3 linked regions of the Drosophila melanogaster genome follow. The protein of the gene in region 1 interacts with the protein of each later gene in a pairwise test. Each region holds a gene or a part of one and is shown in the gene's direction. Other genes may lie near its edges. The genes, in order: Syx16, Sf3b1 and bi.

Region 1 (5,880 bases):
GGCTGTGACTCCACTGCAGCATTGGCGGTTGTGGCGGCAATGGTGGTGTTGGCGGTGGTGACACTGGCCACCGCCTGTGCGCTTGTCGTGGACTTGCGTTCCCGTTCCCTCTCCCTTTTCAGGGCCACGAAGTAGCGCTCGTAGATGAAGAGTTGCTGGCGAAGATGCTGGGCAGAGAGACAGTTGCCGGCTGCGCGTAGAGCTAGCTCCTGCAGCTCCGAGATCATAGAACGCTGGCAATCCAAACGCGCCTGCTGCGAAGGTGGCTGGCTCCAGAGCCAGCCGCTCAGAACCATGTCGGTGGCCTGGCTAAGATGGGCTGCTTGCTGGGCGGCAGCTTGGGTGGTAAGCTTTTTGATGGCCGTGTCCGAGTCCAGAGGCCGACAGCCGTCGCAATTGCAGGCGGAGAGAGGACCGCAGTACTCCGGCTGGCAGCAGGAGCACTTGAGCTGCTGAGCGCCGCAGTAGTGCTTGCCATCGTCGCCCAGGTAGGATAGTTGTCCGCGGGCATTTAGGAGCGGCGCGGTAGGCGACGAGACCAGCTCGCAGTCCTGGATCAGATGGTTCCACAGTACGGCGCCGTCGGCGGCGTTGCGCAGGGAGGCGATGAGATCGGCGCGCAGCCACTTGGCGTCCAGAAAGGGCAGCGGGCGCAGGTAGAGATCGGGCGAATGGCTGGGCGGTGCTGCTGATCCGGAACCTGATCCCGATCCAGATCCTGCTGCGGAGCCTGCTCCTGCCGCTGCTCCACTGGCACCTCCACCCCCTCCTACTCCAACTCCAGCGGAGACTGGTGCTGCAGAAGCGGTCTGGCTGGACCCAGCACCCTGGCCACTGGATCCGGCTCCTCCGCTCGCCTGGCGGTTGAACATGTTTGTGTTTTCGTGTTGCCTTCCCTAGTGCTCCACCGCCGAAGTCAGGCTAGAAACGAGCTCGACCACAACCACAACAACGACAATGGCATGGCACAGTTACCCCTTCAAGGGGGGTGTGGTGGTGGGTTGGAGCGCGGGTGGGGGCGGGGGCGAAGGCGGGTCAATGTCGTCACTGGCACACACACTAAGCACACGCACACGCGCGCAAGCACACACACAACTGCAATCGGGCGTCCAGGATCAGGATAATTCGTTGTTATCCTTGTCCGCACTGCTCATTTCGTTGTTCCGCTCGGAGTTAGTTATGACATCCTGACTTTTCCACCCGCACTTGAACTCTCCGTTTTCCGCGCTTGCTGCTTTCGGGTCACAATTGGAAGTGCCAGTTACCAGTACAATGCAATTTGAAATCAAGGAATTATTTTAAAATGAAATAAAATTGTTTGATGGCAATCGATATCAGGGGGAGGTGCAAACTGACTGAGCTATCAAGTAATCGATATCAGGGGGTCGAGCCATCGATATGTTTTGCCTTTCGATAGCTCTTCAGTGTTCTTAAGTCACAGGCTTGTGTCACGGATTAAAACCCAGTACAGTGGAAGCTGGCTATTAGAAAACGTTAAGCCAAACTCATAATGAGTTCCCTAAAATTCTGTAAATTTGTAATTTTTAAACATTAGCCTAAAATGTACTTGATTCTAAAATCATTTACAATATCATTCGGTTATATTACTCTTTCGTAACGCAAAAAAAGAGAACGCACATAACAAATTATTGAATACTTTTATTGTACTATTACGGTCGTTTTATTGCTAAAAGTATTGCATTTCAATTTACGTGACGGTGTGTACAGAATTAACTTTATAAATTGTTGAAACTCAACAAAGCAATACTATATTCTGTAATTTCCGAATATTTCTATTGGAGCTATCCAATCCGTATATTGAAAAAATCACTTTCGCAAATAGGATGTTTAGGAGTATACATATAAAGTACAGATTCTACAGATAATAAGAAAATAATATTTAAAATAAGTATAATTCTCGGACATGTAACGGTGCGTTCAGGCCAGGGTGACCAGTTCGTCGTGGCGACTATCGGTATTCTGGGCGAGCAAGTCAGCGGGCACACTGCGCTGCTGTGTCAAAACGAAACTGGAAAAAATCTGATTGAGTTTTCAGCGGACTTGGATCAATCCTTCCAATCCCCAAGAAATCGGGAGCAGACGGCCAGGATGACGTCGCGCAACCTGACGGAGGTGTTCGTCATCATGCGCAACAATGCGTCCAAGAACCGGAATCACTACGACGATCGGGTGAGTGCGTCTCCGTCTGGGGTCTTCACTGTTATCATCAACTAACATATGTTTTGCGTTTCTCCGTCTTCCAGAGGGGCAGCGATGCGGAGCGCCTTCTAAAGCACTCGGTGCGCGAGGCGGAGGAGGGACTGGAGCTGCAGGACGACTACGGCACGCCGCCCGCCTGGCTGGACAAGTTCGAGGAGGCGCAGTACACCATGTCTAAGTGGGTAAACAAACAGTAGTCCATGCGCAGGGTTCAACTTCACTCCCATCACTCGTTTGCAGGATCAAGCCTAAGCTGGATGAACTGGGCTCCCTGCACGCACGCCACCTCCTGCGACCCGCCTTCGATGATCAGCGGGACGACGAGTGCGACATCGAGGTGCTCAGCCAAATCGTCTCCAAGCTGATCACCTCCACGCACCGGCACATCCAGTGCGTGCGCAGCAGCATCGGCGTGGGCAGCAAGATGGAGCAGTGCCTGACGGTCAACGCGGTACACTGCGCCCTGCTCCAGCTGCAGGAGCTGACGGTGAAGTTCCGTGCCAGCCAGAATGCCTACCTGCTTCAGCTGAACTCCCGCGAGGAGCGCTCGCAGAAGTACTTCGACGACGGCGGCGGCGCTGGCGCTGGAGACGTCTTCACAAACGTGGAGCTGGGCGAGCAGAGCGCCGAGAACTTCGTCGACTCCTTCGACAACTTTCTGCAGCCGCCGGCGGAGGGCAAGTCCGGCAACGGCTATCTGTTCGAGGACGACGAGCAGGCCATCGACGATCACTTCCAAAGGCCGCCGGCCAGCCGGATGACCCAACAGCAGCTGCTGCTCTTCGAGGAGGAGAACACGCGGGTGGCGCAGCACCGCGAGCAGGAGGTGACCAAGATAGTCAAGTCCATCTACGACCTGAACGACATCTTCAAGGACCTGGGCCACATGGTCCAGGAGCAGGGCACTGTGCTCGACCGCATCGACTACAACGTGGAGCAGACGCAGACGCGCGTCTCGGAGGGATTGCGCCAGCTGCACAAGGCGGAAATGTATCAGCGCAAGAACCGCAAGATGTGCGTCATTCTCGTCCTGGCGGCGGTCACATTCTTCATGCTGCTGCTGCTCATCCTGACCAAGCTCTAGTTGCCCACGCGCCTCCAGTGGGCCGACCTCATTCCCGTCATTCGCTGTGTGTGTTTGTGTATATTGTAAATGTTTGAATACATGTTATTATATTTATTATTTATTGCTAATGCTAAAAAAAAAACCGCAACTACTCCCTCTCAAGTCGAACTCCACTCCAGTCCAGTCCACTCCAGTCCGCTCTCCCAATCACATGCGCTCCGAGAGGCGCGAGGCGACTGCCCGCAGGTTGCCATACACCTTGCTGGGCGGCGAGCCGAGGATTAGGTTGCAGACGGCCCGGCGCGCAAGCTGAATGTTCTGGTAGCTGCCCAGGATGTGGATCTTGCTATCGGCTAGCACGATGCGGGTCTTGGTCACGTTCTCGATGGTGAATTTGGTGCGGCCGCCCTTGCCGGCGAGGCGGCCGATGGCGCGAGACTGGTGGTCGCCGCGCAGCGTCTTCACGTCCTTGATTTCGAACGACTCGACGAACAGGTCCTCCAGACGCAGCAGGGCCAGGGCGTCGTCCACCTCGAAGCCGCAGAGAAAGGCGCGCACGAAGTCGGCGCCGCGCTGCAGGTTGGCTATGTCCGGCGTCTCGGGGCCCACACGCAGCTCCACCTGGCGCGCCTTCATGTTGAAGCGGATCTGCAGCTTCATGTGCTCCACCACGGGCGTAAAGATCTTCATCCAGTGCTCCTTGAGCGAGGAGTACCTGTGTGGCGGCACGGATACCTTGCGCAGCTCGCTTCTGGCCCGCTTTGCCTTGGGCGGCGCCGATGCTCGCGAAGATCCCAGCACCTGGCCCTCAATGCCGGTCGCCTCGTCCACCTGCATCTCCACGTCCTGCTGCCCGCCTCCGCTGGCTCCGCGCTTCGTCGCTCTCTTCGCCGGCTCGAATGCGTCTGCTCTGATGTTCTCTGCCTCCATGGTGCAATCTGTTGTGCTTTTACTGCGTTGTTTCCAATAATTTCTCAATCCAGCTGCTTTGTCTGCTCCACGTGCTCAGTGTGACCGCGCTCGAATCTGAGATTTCAAATACATCTGTAGCTGAATACCACACCACTGAATTTCGACGAAAATACCAATGCGTATGTACAATTCTACACTGGCTAAAAAGTATGTAGAATGTAGAATTCCGAAATATAATACGCCTGAATTCTTGATAAGAAACATCATTGGATTTGAAGGCTGATTGAAGTGCGAATTCATATTTGATCACTCATTGAATTATTGCTGTTTCAAAAGTAATAATTCAAGTACAGCCTAAAGCTATAAGGTGACGTCACTGTCATATAGAACAACACAATGTAAATTCTCAAAAGATGGCAAAGGGTACCGAAAGGAATAATGGTTTCTGTTAGGCCCATATATATGTATATATATACTGTTATATATATACTGTTAATATATAATAACAGTATATATGTACATATATACTTAATCTTAATTTTGGAATCATATTCAGATAACTGTTAATCAGCTACAGACGAGTGGGATAAATATAATTTAAATATATCATAATAATTTTATAATATATATAATATAATTAAATATAAATCATTTTTGCATAATTATTAAATGCAACCCTTTCATTTTCAATCAATCAAAAGGTAGCCTATTTTTGACATTTGGTTTGCTTTGGTCCCTATTGAATTCAGTTCACATCTAGAACCCGTACCGGAGAAACCATTTCCATGTCACAACGGAACTTCAAGATGCCAAATCCGAACAACGAATCCCATTCCTATTTCCTCCGGAATATTCCGGAAGAATTGCAGCCTCAGTTTACGCGTGGATTCAATCAGTGGATGGGCAATCAGTCTACGATGACTAAGGGTTTGCCATCCAATACAGTGAATAAGTCTGCCCAGACGGCATCTGTCAATGATGGCAACTTGCAAGCTAGCGTGATCGCAATGCTGGCAGGAATGGACTCGATCTTGGACATGGAGCAGCCTAACAGAAGTCCTTCGCGCGAAGAGCACGAGCGCCTAAATGAGCTGTTGTTCAGCAGCAATTTGCTGTGAGTTGAAGTAATTCGTGGTGAGAGTCCTGACATAAAGTTCATAGTTTCATTAGCATGCTGGACGTAAAGAAGCGAACGTTTCCCGTGGAGGACCCAACTGGGTATTTAACTTCGGTTTCAGAGCAAAATCCAGATGGGAATCCGTTGGCTAAGCGACTAAAGCTAGAGCGTCCTCAGGGCTGGTAAACAAGTCTCACGAGGAATTACCTTCATTCTACACATATTCAATCATACATATCTTTTCAGACACTAATGACCAATGTCTCTTCCTCAGAGTCTCTCAACCATACAGGACATTAACGAACCATTAAATAAATCACTATAAAAATAAATCACAAAATAGTTCAGAAGAGCCGTTTTATTTTACCAGTTAAGGTCGGTAATTGAAAGAGTTTCGCAAAAGAGGCACGCAAAAAGGTATACATACATAGCTCATACACCTTTAGCTTAGTAATGGGTATCCGATAGTCGATGGTCGACGTGGAGTATGTGCATATGTATATGTGACTTTTTAATATATAAATATACATATATGTATGTGTTGTGTGAATATAAATTCGTTTAT
Region 2 (5,880 bases), on another chromosome or scaffold:
GATGCCAAAGGCGCTGAAGCGGGGCCTAATTGTGGCGGACAACCACAACACCTCATTGTGCTCCCTAATCTTCGATAAGTTTGGAGATTGCAAGCTGATTCTGGGCAACATGGAAATCCACCAGAGCATTACAGCCGAGACCCTGCAAGCGCACCACCAACTCTTCCGAGAAGCTCCTCTCATCATCATGGACAGCAACATATCGGAGCAGGCCATGGCCAGCATTCTGCAGCAGGCGCAAATCAACAAGATTCCAGTCTTCTTCGAGCCCACAGATATGTTCATAGCCGGTAAACCGTTCAAGCTGCTGCCGGAGTTAACCAAGAACATACGCCTGATCAAACCGAATATGCAGGAGTTGAAAACTATTACGGAGGCTATAACGGGCGAAACTGTCAAATGGAATCCAGAAACCAAACAGCCACAAACGGAACTGGTTCAGCAAGCGAAGTCCTTGATCAAAAAAATCGACAGCCACTTCAATTGCATCATAGCTACGCTGAGTGACCACGGGGTGCTACTCAGCTATCGAGGGGACGCTGAAAACGATGCCAGATTGCTCCTCGATGTGAGTAAGCCCACGCCGCCACACAGCACTCGCTTCTATCCCGCTCCCATGGTTCACAATATTGTGAATGTCTCCGGAGCGGGCGATAGTTTCTGCGCGGGCTTCATCACTGCCCTGCTGCGAGGGCGATCTCTGGACGAGTGCATCGCCGGCGGCTTTGTGGCCGCTGAAAGGGCACTGCAGTCTGAGTCCGCCGTTCCCGCAACGTACTTCTCAAATCAAGAATCTTTTGAGAGTCGCTACAAGCATACTGCCCGGATCATTCAACAGCAGAGCATATAGATGGTACTTTGAACACCAAAAAGAACGAAGGCATTTACTCAGGACGTTTTACTTTATTCCTAAGTATTTTCTTACCGTGTACAAGTTAATGATTTGTTAATAAGCCCATCTGAAAGATACAATTAGAGTCTGTATATTGTTATAGAAAACCTCGTTACTCAAACTTACAGCTTTATAACTTTGTCCTTGCCACCAGAGGCAACTCTAGAGCCATCGGGCGCCCAGTCCACTCCGAACACCTCATCCGCATGTCCAGGCAGCTCCTGTGCCAGTTTCTTCGTCTGCACACTCCATACTAAGCAAGAGGATATGTATTAGCTAGCGCTAGAAAACTGAAACTACGTGCTAACCTTTTAGAGTTGAGTCTTTGCTGCCGGAAACAATCAAGCGGGAGTCCGCGGACCAGGCAACCGTGTAAACAGCCTGCACATGACCCCGGAAGGTGGCCATGTACTGACCATCGCTGGCTCGCCACAGACGCACTGACTTGTCAAATGAAGCAGACGCAATTAGCTTTACATCCGGCGAATATTTCACGTCGTTGACCACGTTCTGGTGCCCTGTCATGCGCTCAACGCACTTGTTCTGGTTGTTCCGCCACAGATAGAGGGTGTTGTCATCCGAACAGGAAACCAGCGACTCCACCTCGTCAGGGCACACGGCCTGGTAGCGCTTCAAGGCAGATTCCTGCAATTCCTCAGCTGTAAAACAATCTCTTTTAGGATATACAGCATATATAGAGAGCATATGAATTCTTACTGCTCAAACTGAGGTGGCTCTTGGAGCGATCCTTCACCGGATGGAATGGACCAGTGCGCAGGACGTAGTCGGTGCTCAGCGCAATGTTGTTTACCCAGTGAGCGTGGCCAGAGAACGTCCGGCACAAGATTCCATCAGCTGCTCGCCACATCTTCACTGTGCGATCTTTGGAGGATGTATAAATAAGGCCCGCTCCACCCCATCTCACTGCTGTCACAGCATTTGTGTGTCCGGCAATGTTCATAAGGCACTGGCCCAATTTCACGTCCCAAATCCGGCAGTCCCCGTCTCCACTGGCGGAAGCAAGTTTCCTGCACTCCGGATCGCGATGATACGGTTCCCAGGCGAGGCAGTTGATGTGTTTCTTGTGCCCACTCAAGGGTCGCCCCTTCTGCTGACCCGTCTCCGGGTCCCAGATGATTATAGAGCCCGCTTTGCAACCGCTGGCCAACCGTTTGCCATCCGGAGCCCAGGATACGCACAGAACCCACTGCTTATGACCTGTGCAGGTGAAGTGCGGTGTCTCTGTGTTAAGATCCCACAATCGCACTGTGGTGTCGCCACTTCCACTGGCGAGATGAGCACCATCCGGGCTGAAATTCAGCGAAACCACAGCCTCGGCGTGTCCCGGCATGGAACTCGTGCATCTTGTCACTGGGCGCACTTTGAAAACCGCCTGTGGCTGATACACAATATCGATCACGTTTTCGGTGTCCACTGACGCCAAGTCCAACGTGTCCTCCAGGCTCTTCTTGATCTCATCCTCGCCCACGAAAAACAAATATGGAGTGGCTTCCTCGTTTTTCAGCAGCGCGTTGCAAATCAGACCCAATTGCTGGGTAGTGATTCCTGCCGGCAGGTCGATTGGCGGGCCCGCTTCCTCGCCCGTGTCCGAAACGAGGCGCGCCTGTATCGTATGTGGCGTGGCCTCTTGCTCCGTGTCCGTCTCCTGCATTTTCTGTTTTTTGGCCAACATTCTCGCGGTCAAAACAAAAGTAAACACGTGCCGCAACTTGTTCGTTAGTGATGAGCAATCGGCAGACGGCTCAGCTGGCCTGCCAGCTATCGATTATTATTTGCTTAAAAAATAATAAACAAATAATGCATTTATATTTTGTATCGAACTTTGTAATAAAAGTTGTCCAAAATATCATCATCAATATCGGGTGGAATGAGAAGATTTAAGAAATCGAATGTTTCCCGATAGCTGCTAGTACGATATGATATGTATTTGGTCACACTTAGACCAGGCGCTATTATCATCTGGTAACACTGGTTTTACATGTACGCTCTTCTCTTGGTAAAGTTTTTATAAAAATGGAAAATATTCCGCGAACACATGAAGGTAAGCGATATAAACACTCACGGTGGCAAACCACCGCCATTGCCAAAACGTAAATATACTATCTGCGCACCAAAAGGAACCGCACACACAAATGGGGATCGACCGGTTTTTCTGGCTGGTGGTCTACTATGAAAATCAAGTATCTTTACCTATTTTTACTCACAGATATCGAGGCACAGATCAGCGTGATCCAGGAGAAGAAGACGGAGTTGGCCAAGACCACTGCCGCAGCAGCCGGCGTGGGATTGCTGGACAGCGGAGGATTCTTCGACAGCGACTTGTACGACGATGATGCCGCCAAGGGGAAGGGGCGTTACGAGGGGTACAACACCTCCATTGCGGCCAACGACGCCGAGGAAGTCGATGAGGATGAGGACGACGGCTTCCCCGTGCCCCAGAAACGCACCACGTACACGGCGCCGGCCTCCGTGCTAAAGGACGTGACCCAGGGCAAGGAGGATGTGGATCCCATGGCAGACCGCAGGCGTCCAACGATTGCCGATCGGGAGGATGAGTACAGGCAGAAGAGACGTCACATCATCATTTCCCCAGAGCGAGCGGATCCCTTTGCCGATGGCGGGAAAACCCCAGATGTGGGCTCTCGCACCTACACGGACATCATGCGGGAGCAGATGCTGAAGGGCGAGGAATCTGAGCTCCGCCGAAGAATCCTGGAGAAAACCAAGGAGGGAACTCTGGTAAAGACCGTTACATCGTCGTCAACTTCAAATGGGGACCTGCCTGCACCAAAGGACGGCGGCAGAAAGCGAGGCAGATGGGACCAGACGGTCAGCGACAGCTTCATCCCGGCCAAGATGGCCACGCCAAGCAGCGCAGCTACCCCAACTTGGGAAGATGTGAGTATTCTGGGAAGTATAATGGATGATATAATAAAATATTAATTTACTCCGTAGAAAACTCCTGGAGACCACCGTTGGGATGAGACTCCGGGTCACAAGGGCAGCGAGACGCCAGGAGCGACGCCGGGACTGGGCACCCGCATCTGGGACGCCACTCCGGCCCACGCTGTGACCCCAGGACACGAGACTCCTGGACACGAGAAGTCGGCCCGTCGAAATCGCTGGGACGAAACCCCGAAAACAGAGCGTGAGACTCCCGGACACAGCGGATGGGCCGAGACTCCAAAGCCAGATCGCACAGGCAGTGGAGGCGGCGCGGAGAGCATATCAATCGAGTCCACCCCCGGGGCCTCCAAACGTCGCTCTCGTTGGGATGAAACGCCCTCGAATGCTACGCCGGCTATTACTCCTACAAATGCGAGTGCCATGACTCCAAATATGACTCCCAGTATGACGCCACATGTGACTCCGGGACATGCTACTCCCATGCTGACGCCCGGAGGCAGTACTCCTATCGGAGTCAAGGCAATGGCCATGGCCACGCCCTCTGCGGGAGCTCTGGCTGCGATGACACCAGAGCAATTGCAAGCCTATCGCTGGGAAAAGGAAATCGACGAGAGAAACAGGCCATACACAGACGAAGAGTTGGACCAAATCTTTCCGCCTGGTTACAAAATTCTACCGCCACCAGCTGGCTATGTTCCACTGCGCACTCCCGGCAGAAAGCTGATGGCCACGCCTACGCCAATTGCTGGCACCCCAGCCGGTTTCTTCATCCAAGTGGAGGACAAGAATGCCAAATTCATGGATAACCAACCAAAGGGGCAAAATCTCCCCTTCATGAAACCAGAGGATGCGCAATATTTTGACAAGCTACTTGTAGACGTGAACGAAGACTCTCTGTCGCCTGAGGAACTCAAGGAGCGCAAGATAATGAAGCTACTGCTGACCATCAAGAACGGCTCGCCACCAATGAGAAAGTCGGCCTTGAGGCAGATTACGGACAAAGCAAGGGAATTCGGAGCAGGACCTTTGTTTAACCAGATTCTTCCGTTGCTTATGTCGCCCACATTGGAGGACCAAGAGCGTCATTTATTAGTGAAGGTAATTGATCGTGTTTTATACAAACTGGACGATTTGGTGCGGCCCTATGTGCACAAGATTTTGGTGGTCATAGAACCGCTGCTGATTGATGAAGATCACTACGCTCGCATAGAAGGCAGAGAAATCATATCCAACCTGGCCAAGGCCGCTGGTTTGGCCACCATGATCTCTACTATGAGACCGGACATTGACAACATCGACGAGTATGTACGAAACACCACAGCGCGTGCCTTTGCCGTGGTCGCTTCAGCTTTGGGAATTCCCTCTTTACTGCCCTTCCTAAAAGCCGTTTGCAAGTCGAAGAAATCCTGGCAAGCGCGGCACACTGGCATCAAAATTGTCCAGCAAATTGCCATCCTGATGGGATGTGCTATATTGCCGCATCTTAAAGCTCTCGTGGAGATTATCGAGCACGGACTAGTGGACGAGCAGCAGAAGGTACGCACAATTACAGCCTTGGCCATTGCTGCCTTGGCAGAGGCAGCCACTCCGTACGGCATTGAATCCTTCGATTCCGTGCTAAAGCCGCTTTGGAAGGGTATTCGCACGCATCGCGGCAAAGGTCTGGCCGCCTTCCTCAAGGCTATTGGCTATTTGATTCCCCTGATGGACGCCGAGTACGCTAATTACTATACGCGTGAAGTGATGTTGATTCTTATCCGCGAGTTCCAGTCTCCAGATGAGGAAATGAAAAAGATTGTACTAAAGGTGGTGAAGCAATGTTGCGCCACCGATGGTGTGGAACCGCAGTACATCAAAGAGGAGATTCTTCCGCACTTTTTCAAGTTCTTCTGGAATCACCGCATGGCCCTGGACAGGCGTAACTACCGCCAGCTGGTGGACACCACCGTGGAGATTGCCAACAAGGTGGGCGCCTCTGAGATTATCAATCGTGTGGTGGATGACCTGAAGGATGAGAACGAGCAGTACAGGAAGATGGTGATGGAAACAGTGGAGAAGAT
Region 3 (5,880 bases), about 16 Mb from region 1:
TTCCGCTGGGCTTGTTGTTTGTTTGCAGTTACCATTATTATTGCTACTGCTCCTGCTCTACTACTACTACTACTACTATTATTGCTGCTGTTTTGTTTCATGCAACTTTTACCATAATTGCGGGTAGCATTATGACATCGGGAAGCGACAAGCGAAACGCAACCTGAACATAATTACAACAATTTGTTGTCTAGTGTTTGACAACAACAGCAACAGCAAACAGCAACAAAGGCACAGAGCAAAAAGAAGCCGAGGAGATGATTGTTGTCATGGTTGAATGATGCAACTGGAAAAGGCAGAAAACAGCAGCTACATCGGCAACAAAAGTCACGCACATTGACATTCGCCTGGAGAAACCGAAAAAGATGACACGGTAAGGCAGCCAAGGAAAGGTGGGAAAGCCTGCAGCACGCCCTCCATGCACTGGGCAAAAAAAAAAAAGACATTAGAAATATCACTGGAAAAACGCAAAACTTTCCATGTTTTGTTTGGATTTTTCTGGGGCGTTAAACCTAAGCAATTCAGACTACAAATAATAATAATAAATATTACATATTTTTATTTGGGAACCCAGTATTTGGCCCTTCTTCCTTGCAGTGCAATCCTTCCCCCGAGGACAAGGAAATACATCTGTGGCAATGTGGCAGCTCCTCTGCGATGCTCGTCACACTTCATTTCGACGCTTTCAACGCTTGTTGCGCCTCTAAATTAATTGCCACAGCCTGTGCAGCGCCAAAATTTAATGCAAAGTTTAGCAAATACAAGGAGCAAGTGTATTCCTGACCCCCCAAACGCCACCCTTTTCGTATATCCCTCGGGATCGGGAGCTTCGACTAATTAGCAGGCGAGGCGCAGGCGCCAGAGCTGCGTAAAAAAGTCGGGCTATACGGAATAGCGAATCGGTAGGATATGCGCGCCACATGCCCCATTATCAACAATTGCACATTGCGCCATATTTTACAGTTGATTCTCATCGGCCATGGCAGATGCATTCAGGAACTTCTTACATGTTATTTTTGATGTTCTGGGCATTCGGAAATGGTTTGGCAGAGAAACGAAATGTACCCTCGTTTTTTAATTGCTACACATTTATTTTATAATTATTTTAAATTTAAAATTTTTAAGATTAGTGATCTGGAATTATCAAAAATTCAATATTTGAAGCACAAATTATCCAAAGAAATAACTGACGTATTAATCATTTATTTGTTTTGAATTCAATATTTATCTGAGTTCCTACATTGCGAGCTGTAATTTCATAATCACAGCAATATCTTTTCAACATTTTTCTTTTTTTTTAAAGAAATTTTATTTTTCAAAGTTCTGTGCTTCTATTATTTCTCCAAATTTTAGCTCCCTTTTCCGAATTTGAGCCTAAAATTTCGCGCCAAAAAACCGAATAAAGCCATATAGGTGAAGTGGAAACTGAGAAATAAGGGACACGAGAAGGCACGGAGACGGAAAAGGACATTTTTGCCTGTGTGACAAAATCGCTGACTACGTGTGTGTGCGTGTTTTCCTTCTCGCCATGTAACGCTATCTCGCTTCTACACGCACACACATGAACACAAGCCCGAGACTCCGCCCACTAAGCGATCGCGATGAGATGAGAAAAAAACTCACCACAGTCCGGTAAAAAACGCTCAACTCACTCACTCAGTCATACACACACACACACACATTCACTCGCTCTCCCACTCTTTCTCACCGAGAATGCGCATTCCCTCTGGCACTTGCCTTCTCGTTCTTGCGCACATGAAACTGTGTAAAATGGTCGCCTTGCAGGGGGCGTTGCTTTATGGCCGTCTTTTTCGCACCCATGCGAAAGTGCCGCAGTGTGAGCGAGAGGGAATGCGTTTGTGGATGGAGGTTTTGAAAGCAAGAGTAGAGAAGATGCGACGTTGTAAACGAATTTGCATATTTCTACTGCTTTACGCTTATTGCATATTTTATTCATTACGTTCTGGCGCTTCGGCGGATGAAAACCCAAGAAAAGGCGAAAAGCGAAGGAAAGTGTCATATGGCATTCCGACTACCGTTAGCTCTGCGTGACATCGGTCCTCCCTTTCGCACGCACAATCTTCATCCTTCTTTTTGCTTCTTGTTGAGCTTCTTCCTTTTTTAAGCTTTATAATTTATAAATTCGTTAATATATAAAAAAAAAGTTGCTTAAAATTCTAAATTCTCAGTTCAAGATATAAAAAATTCAACAATTATTCCTACGAAAATCCTTTTAAATAATTTCTTATAAGCTGTTAGCTCAATCTGAATACAGTCCCAACTATCTCTGGTTTTGTATATTTTTTCTGTAACTTAGAATTAATATTTAGTGTTTTTTTTAAAGCTGAGCTTTTTGTTTTTACTTTCATTTGATTACCAAGTATTTCCAACCCAAATATATACATATATATATGGTATATATATTACTTAACTAATAGCTACAATCATATTTACGTCTTAAAAGGATTCTTAGCTGTTTTAATATCTTAAAGCTGTTTCCAGATTTCATATACTTAAGGTCATAACAATGCCAACATCCTAGTTTGTTTTTTATTTGGCTCCTTTTACCCGAAATTGGTTCCACGTATTTCTGCAAATTTGTTTATTTTCGCTTGGCAGCGACTTAATCTGTGCTCCAGTTTTTCGTAGTATCCCCCCCCAAAAAAAATGGACACCATACACACACACATTTAACGGTTAAGCCGTTGTCCTTTTTTCCCAAGAAGTCAAAGGATGCGATTCGAATGTGCGTGAGTTATCCGGCGTGTTGTTATCCTGGCTCGGACCAAATAGGATACAAAAAAAACCTAGCATAAACCGGTTCTGAGTAAGTGCTCAATTACTCACACACACACACACACACATGCAAAGAAGTGCTCACTCAAAACGAAGCGAAACGAGGCGAATTCGTGCCTCTGCCTCTGCCGACGTCGACTGTGCTGCCGTGGTGGGTTTTGTGAAGCAAAGCGTCGAGCAGAGTGGCGAATAGCGTCATTCAAAATTGGAATTCTGTTAGTAAACGTCGACACTTCATATGAAACGAAGAGCGGAGATCACAGCGGAAAATCCAGGGGTGTACGTGGGTTTAAAACGCACAGAGGGATTTCACTCAAAGAAAGAAAGAATACGTTTATACTTATATAGGGTTAGACCAGGAGGGTAGGCTACGTATAAAGACAAGAAGAAGGAAAGCAAAGAAAGAATGGCCTCGCCAAGTAAAGCTGAGAGCATAGAGTGTAGGGATTACACAGAAGGGCTTTAAAAAGAAAATATGTAACCCACAAAATAGCAACTACAAGACTACCCACGACTTGGGTGTCAAAATGCTTGTCATTCGACAGCACGGCGAGGGGGAAAACCTATGCTAAGCTGGCCTTAGCTTTTTTGCCCGCGTGTGGTGAACATAACACGGGCCAACCCACCTCCCCCCACGCGATGGGGATTCCCCACTTTCGCATTCTGCCGGCGTCGCTGCGAACGTCGCTGCCGGCTTCTTGCACTTTGGCGCTCGGCGTCGTCTTGGCCCGGTTATTTGTTGTTTTTTTTTTTTTTTTCGTTTTTCGGGCTTTTCGGCTTTTTGGATCGTTCTCGGCCAGCAGTCGCCGCCTGTCACACGCTCACGTCAAACGCTTTTGCCGTCGCGTCGTCAGATAAACCAAATGTCTCGCCGTGTTTACGTGTGATTCCCCTTTTTTGCTTCAATCCGAAGGCAAAATAAATACACTGACCTTAACCGATACGGCTCACCGTTTAACCGCTAACCGTTAACCGTTTCGTGGCCGTCGACGATAAGGAATCAAGAAACAACATCACCCTGCAGATTCTGTTTTGTTTTGTTTTTTTGTGCAGTCCAGAATTTTTTGAAAACCTGACAAGATTAAAGAAAATTGTGTTTGAAAAGTGCGTAAAGTGTGGAGTATTTAAACTTAAAAAAAAAAACATATATAAAAATCAAACAACAGCAAGGTGGGAGGTCCAAAGAATATAAATAAAAAACACACTGGTTTCCGCCTGAGATTTTCAAAATACCGTTTCAGATCATGAAAACATAATGGTATACAAATATATTATGTTTATGCTGCCCTTGGAAATAAATAGTATACTATCAAAAAAATCTACTCCTTGGTTTTTCCCTACTTGAGAAATGAGAAATTTACAAACATTAAATGTAGAACTACTGATAATTACTTTCAATATTTTGGTGATCCAATGAGTTAATAGGAAAGTCCTTAAACAAAGCGTGGTGGAACTCCTTCCCATTATGATAATCACATCGCATAACACCAGGGAGATTGTCTAGATTGATTGATCCAACCCCCAGGAGATTCCCCATCCCGATCTGCTCAAGCGCAACGAAATCGGAACCATTATCCAATTAGCTAACTCTTTCCGAACCCGTATCATCAGTTTATCGCCTCGTCAATTGTTTTCTCATACTTTTTTCGCTACTTAACTGATGTGACAATTTGTAGCCATTAGCCGGAGGCAGTCAGTCAAACAGTCGCTAGATTTGCAAGTTGTTCAGGCATGACAAAACAAAAAAGAAAAAAAAAAAAAAACTATATATATGCAATGTATGGCGATGGATAAGGGGGGGGGGGAGAGTTGGGGAGCGGGGTTCCGGAGACGAGATCACGATCGCATCTCGACACGCAGCTAAAAGTGTAAATCAGCTCGCCTTCCATTATGTCAACAATCTCTTTGTCTGTCCGTATTATTTACATTTGTCAAATCAAATTTGACAGCTGCGGAAAACATAATATCTCAAGTCGGCGTCTGCGGCACAGTCCGGTTTTTTGTATGGGGCCTTATTCAATAGGGAGGGGATCAAGGGGATTCGCGGAGGAGATCGTAGCCGCCTAGGACCACCGATACAAACTTGTATTCAGAACTGGATTTGTCGCTTCGCTCTGTTGTGCCAAACGAACTGAGCCATGAACACAAGAATGAATACTTGGCCAAGCACTCGATCAATCTGGTCTCACACAAAGTTCTTTCACTTGAAGATGTACAAAAATAATTAGACATTTTTCTATTTATCTATTGTTATACGGAAAAGGATTTAAAACGTGCAAACATTTTGACTACTTGTTCTAATTTCGAAATACTAAGCCTGAAAATCAAGGATATTTATAAATCTAATATTCCAAGCCACTGGCTATTATCATTCGCGTTTACAGAGCAATGTTTTGTAGGAAAGGATTTTCCCCAGCACCAAAATAATTTTCTCTTTCGAGTAGTTTATTGCACTGCTTATTAGCGATTAGTGACTTTTATGACTGTTTAGAAACGTAGTACTCAACCCTTTTCGAAAGTAGGTAACAACCCTTAACCATTTGTATTACATATTAGAGAATGTTTTCTTCTTGTTTCCGAGGGAACATGCATTTTCTTTTTGATCCTCATTTAGTAGGGATTACATTATTACACAGTTGGAAATATATATTGTCTTGATCGAATTACGGAATTAAGTGTTATATATACCTAAAATAGTTCCAAAATACCACAACACATAATACCTATATCTTTTGCTGACTTCACCAATTAATTGGTGAGGTTTCCAGTCGGGGTTGTTCGTTGGTAAGCTGCTAACGGACTTATGACATGGATATGGCTATGATTCGGGAATCACGATTCAGTATTCCGTATTCCGTATTCGGTGGGGTATGTACTGTGTACTCTGCTACTATAAAATGCCAGCTCCATTGTTGTTGCTACAACCGGCGGAAGAAAACGGAAGAGGGGATTGTATTTTTTGGATTTCGGGAATTGGGAATGGCCTGGATGCGGCACTTATCCTTGTTTTTTTTTTTTTTTTGGGGTTGAAGGCAACAAACACACTGCACACTTAACCGATAAATACGCACCACATCTATATTA

The links.
Region 2: the proteins of Syx16 (region 1) and Sf3b1 interact in a two-hybrid assay, tested with the Drosophila melanogaster proteins (one large-scale study listed by BioGRID).
Region 3: the proteins of Syx16 (region 1) and bi interact in a two-hybrid assay, tested with the Drosophila melanogaster proteins (one large-scale study listed by BioGRID).

What each region holds. Positions count from the first base shown.
Region 1 is NC_004354.4:20,389,872-20,395,751, reverse strand, and holds Syx16 (syntaxin 16), read left to right. Parts: upstream 1-2,000; 5' UTR 2,001-2,109; coding exon 2,110-2,190; intron 2,191-2,264; coding exon 2,265-2,398; intron 2,399-2,460; coding exon 2,461-3,304; 3' UTR 3,305-3,418; downstream 3,419-5,880. Other genes in the region: HERC2 (HECT and RLD domain containing protein 2), read right to left, coding at 1-872; l(1)G0004 (lethal (1) G0004), read right to left, coding at 3,494-4,216; jb (jean-baptiste), read left to right, coding at 4,984-5,312, 5,369-5,497, 5,562-5,562.
Region 2 is NT_033779.5:565,480-571,359, forward strand, and holds the start of Sf3b1 (splicing factor 3b subunit 1), read left to right. Parts: upstream 1-2,860; 5' UTR 2,861-2,926; coding exon 2,927-2,954; intron 2,955-3,119; coding exon 3,120-3,811; intron 3,812-3,868; coding exon 3,869-5,880. Other genes in the region: CG2794 (uncharacterized protein), read left to right, coding at 1-850; Nle (notchless), read right to left, coding at 947-959, 1,019-1,145, 1,201-1,551, 1,610-2,585.
Region 3 is NC_004354.4:4,409,846-4,415,725, forward strand, and holds the start of bi (bifid), read left to right. Parts: upstream 1-3,010; 5' UTR 3,011-3,075; intron 3,076-3,616; exon of another isoform or gene 3,617-4,054; intron 4,055-5,880. UniProt on the Drosophila melanogaster protein: Essential protein that may function as a transcription regulator. Vital for pupal development. Required for proper development of the optic lobes and wings, and abdominal pigmentation.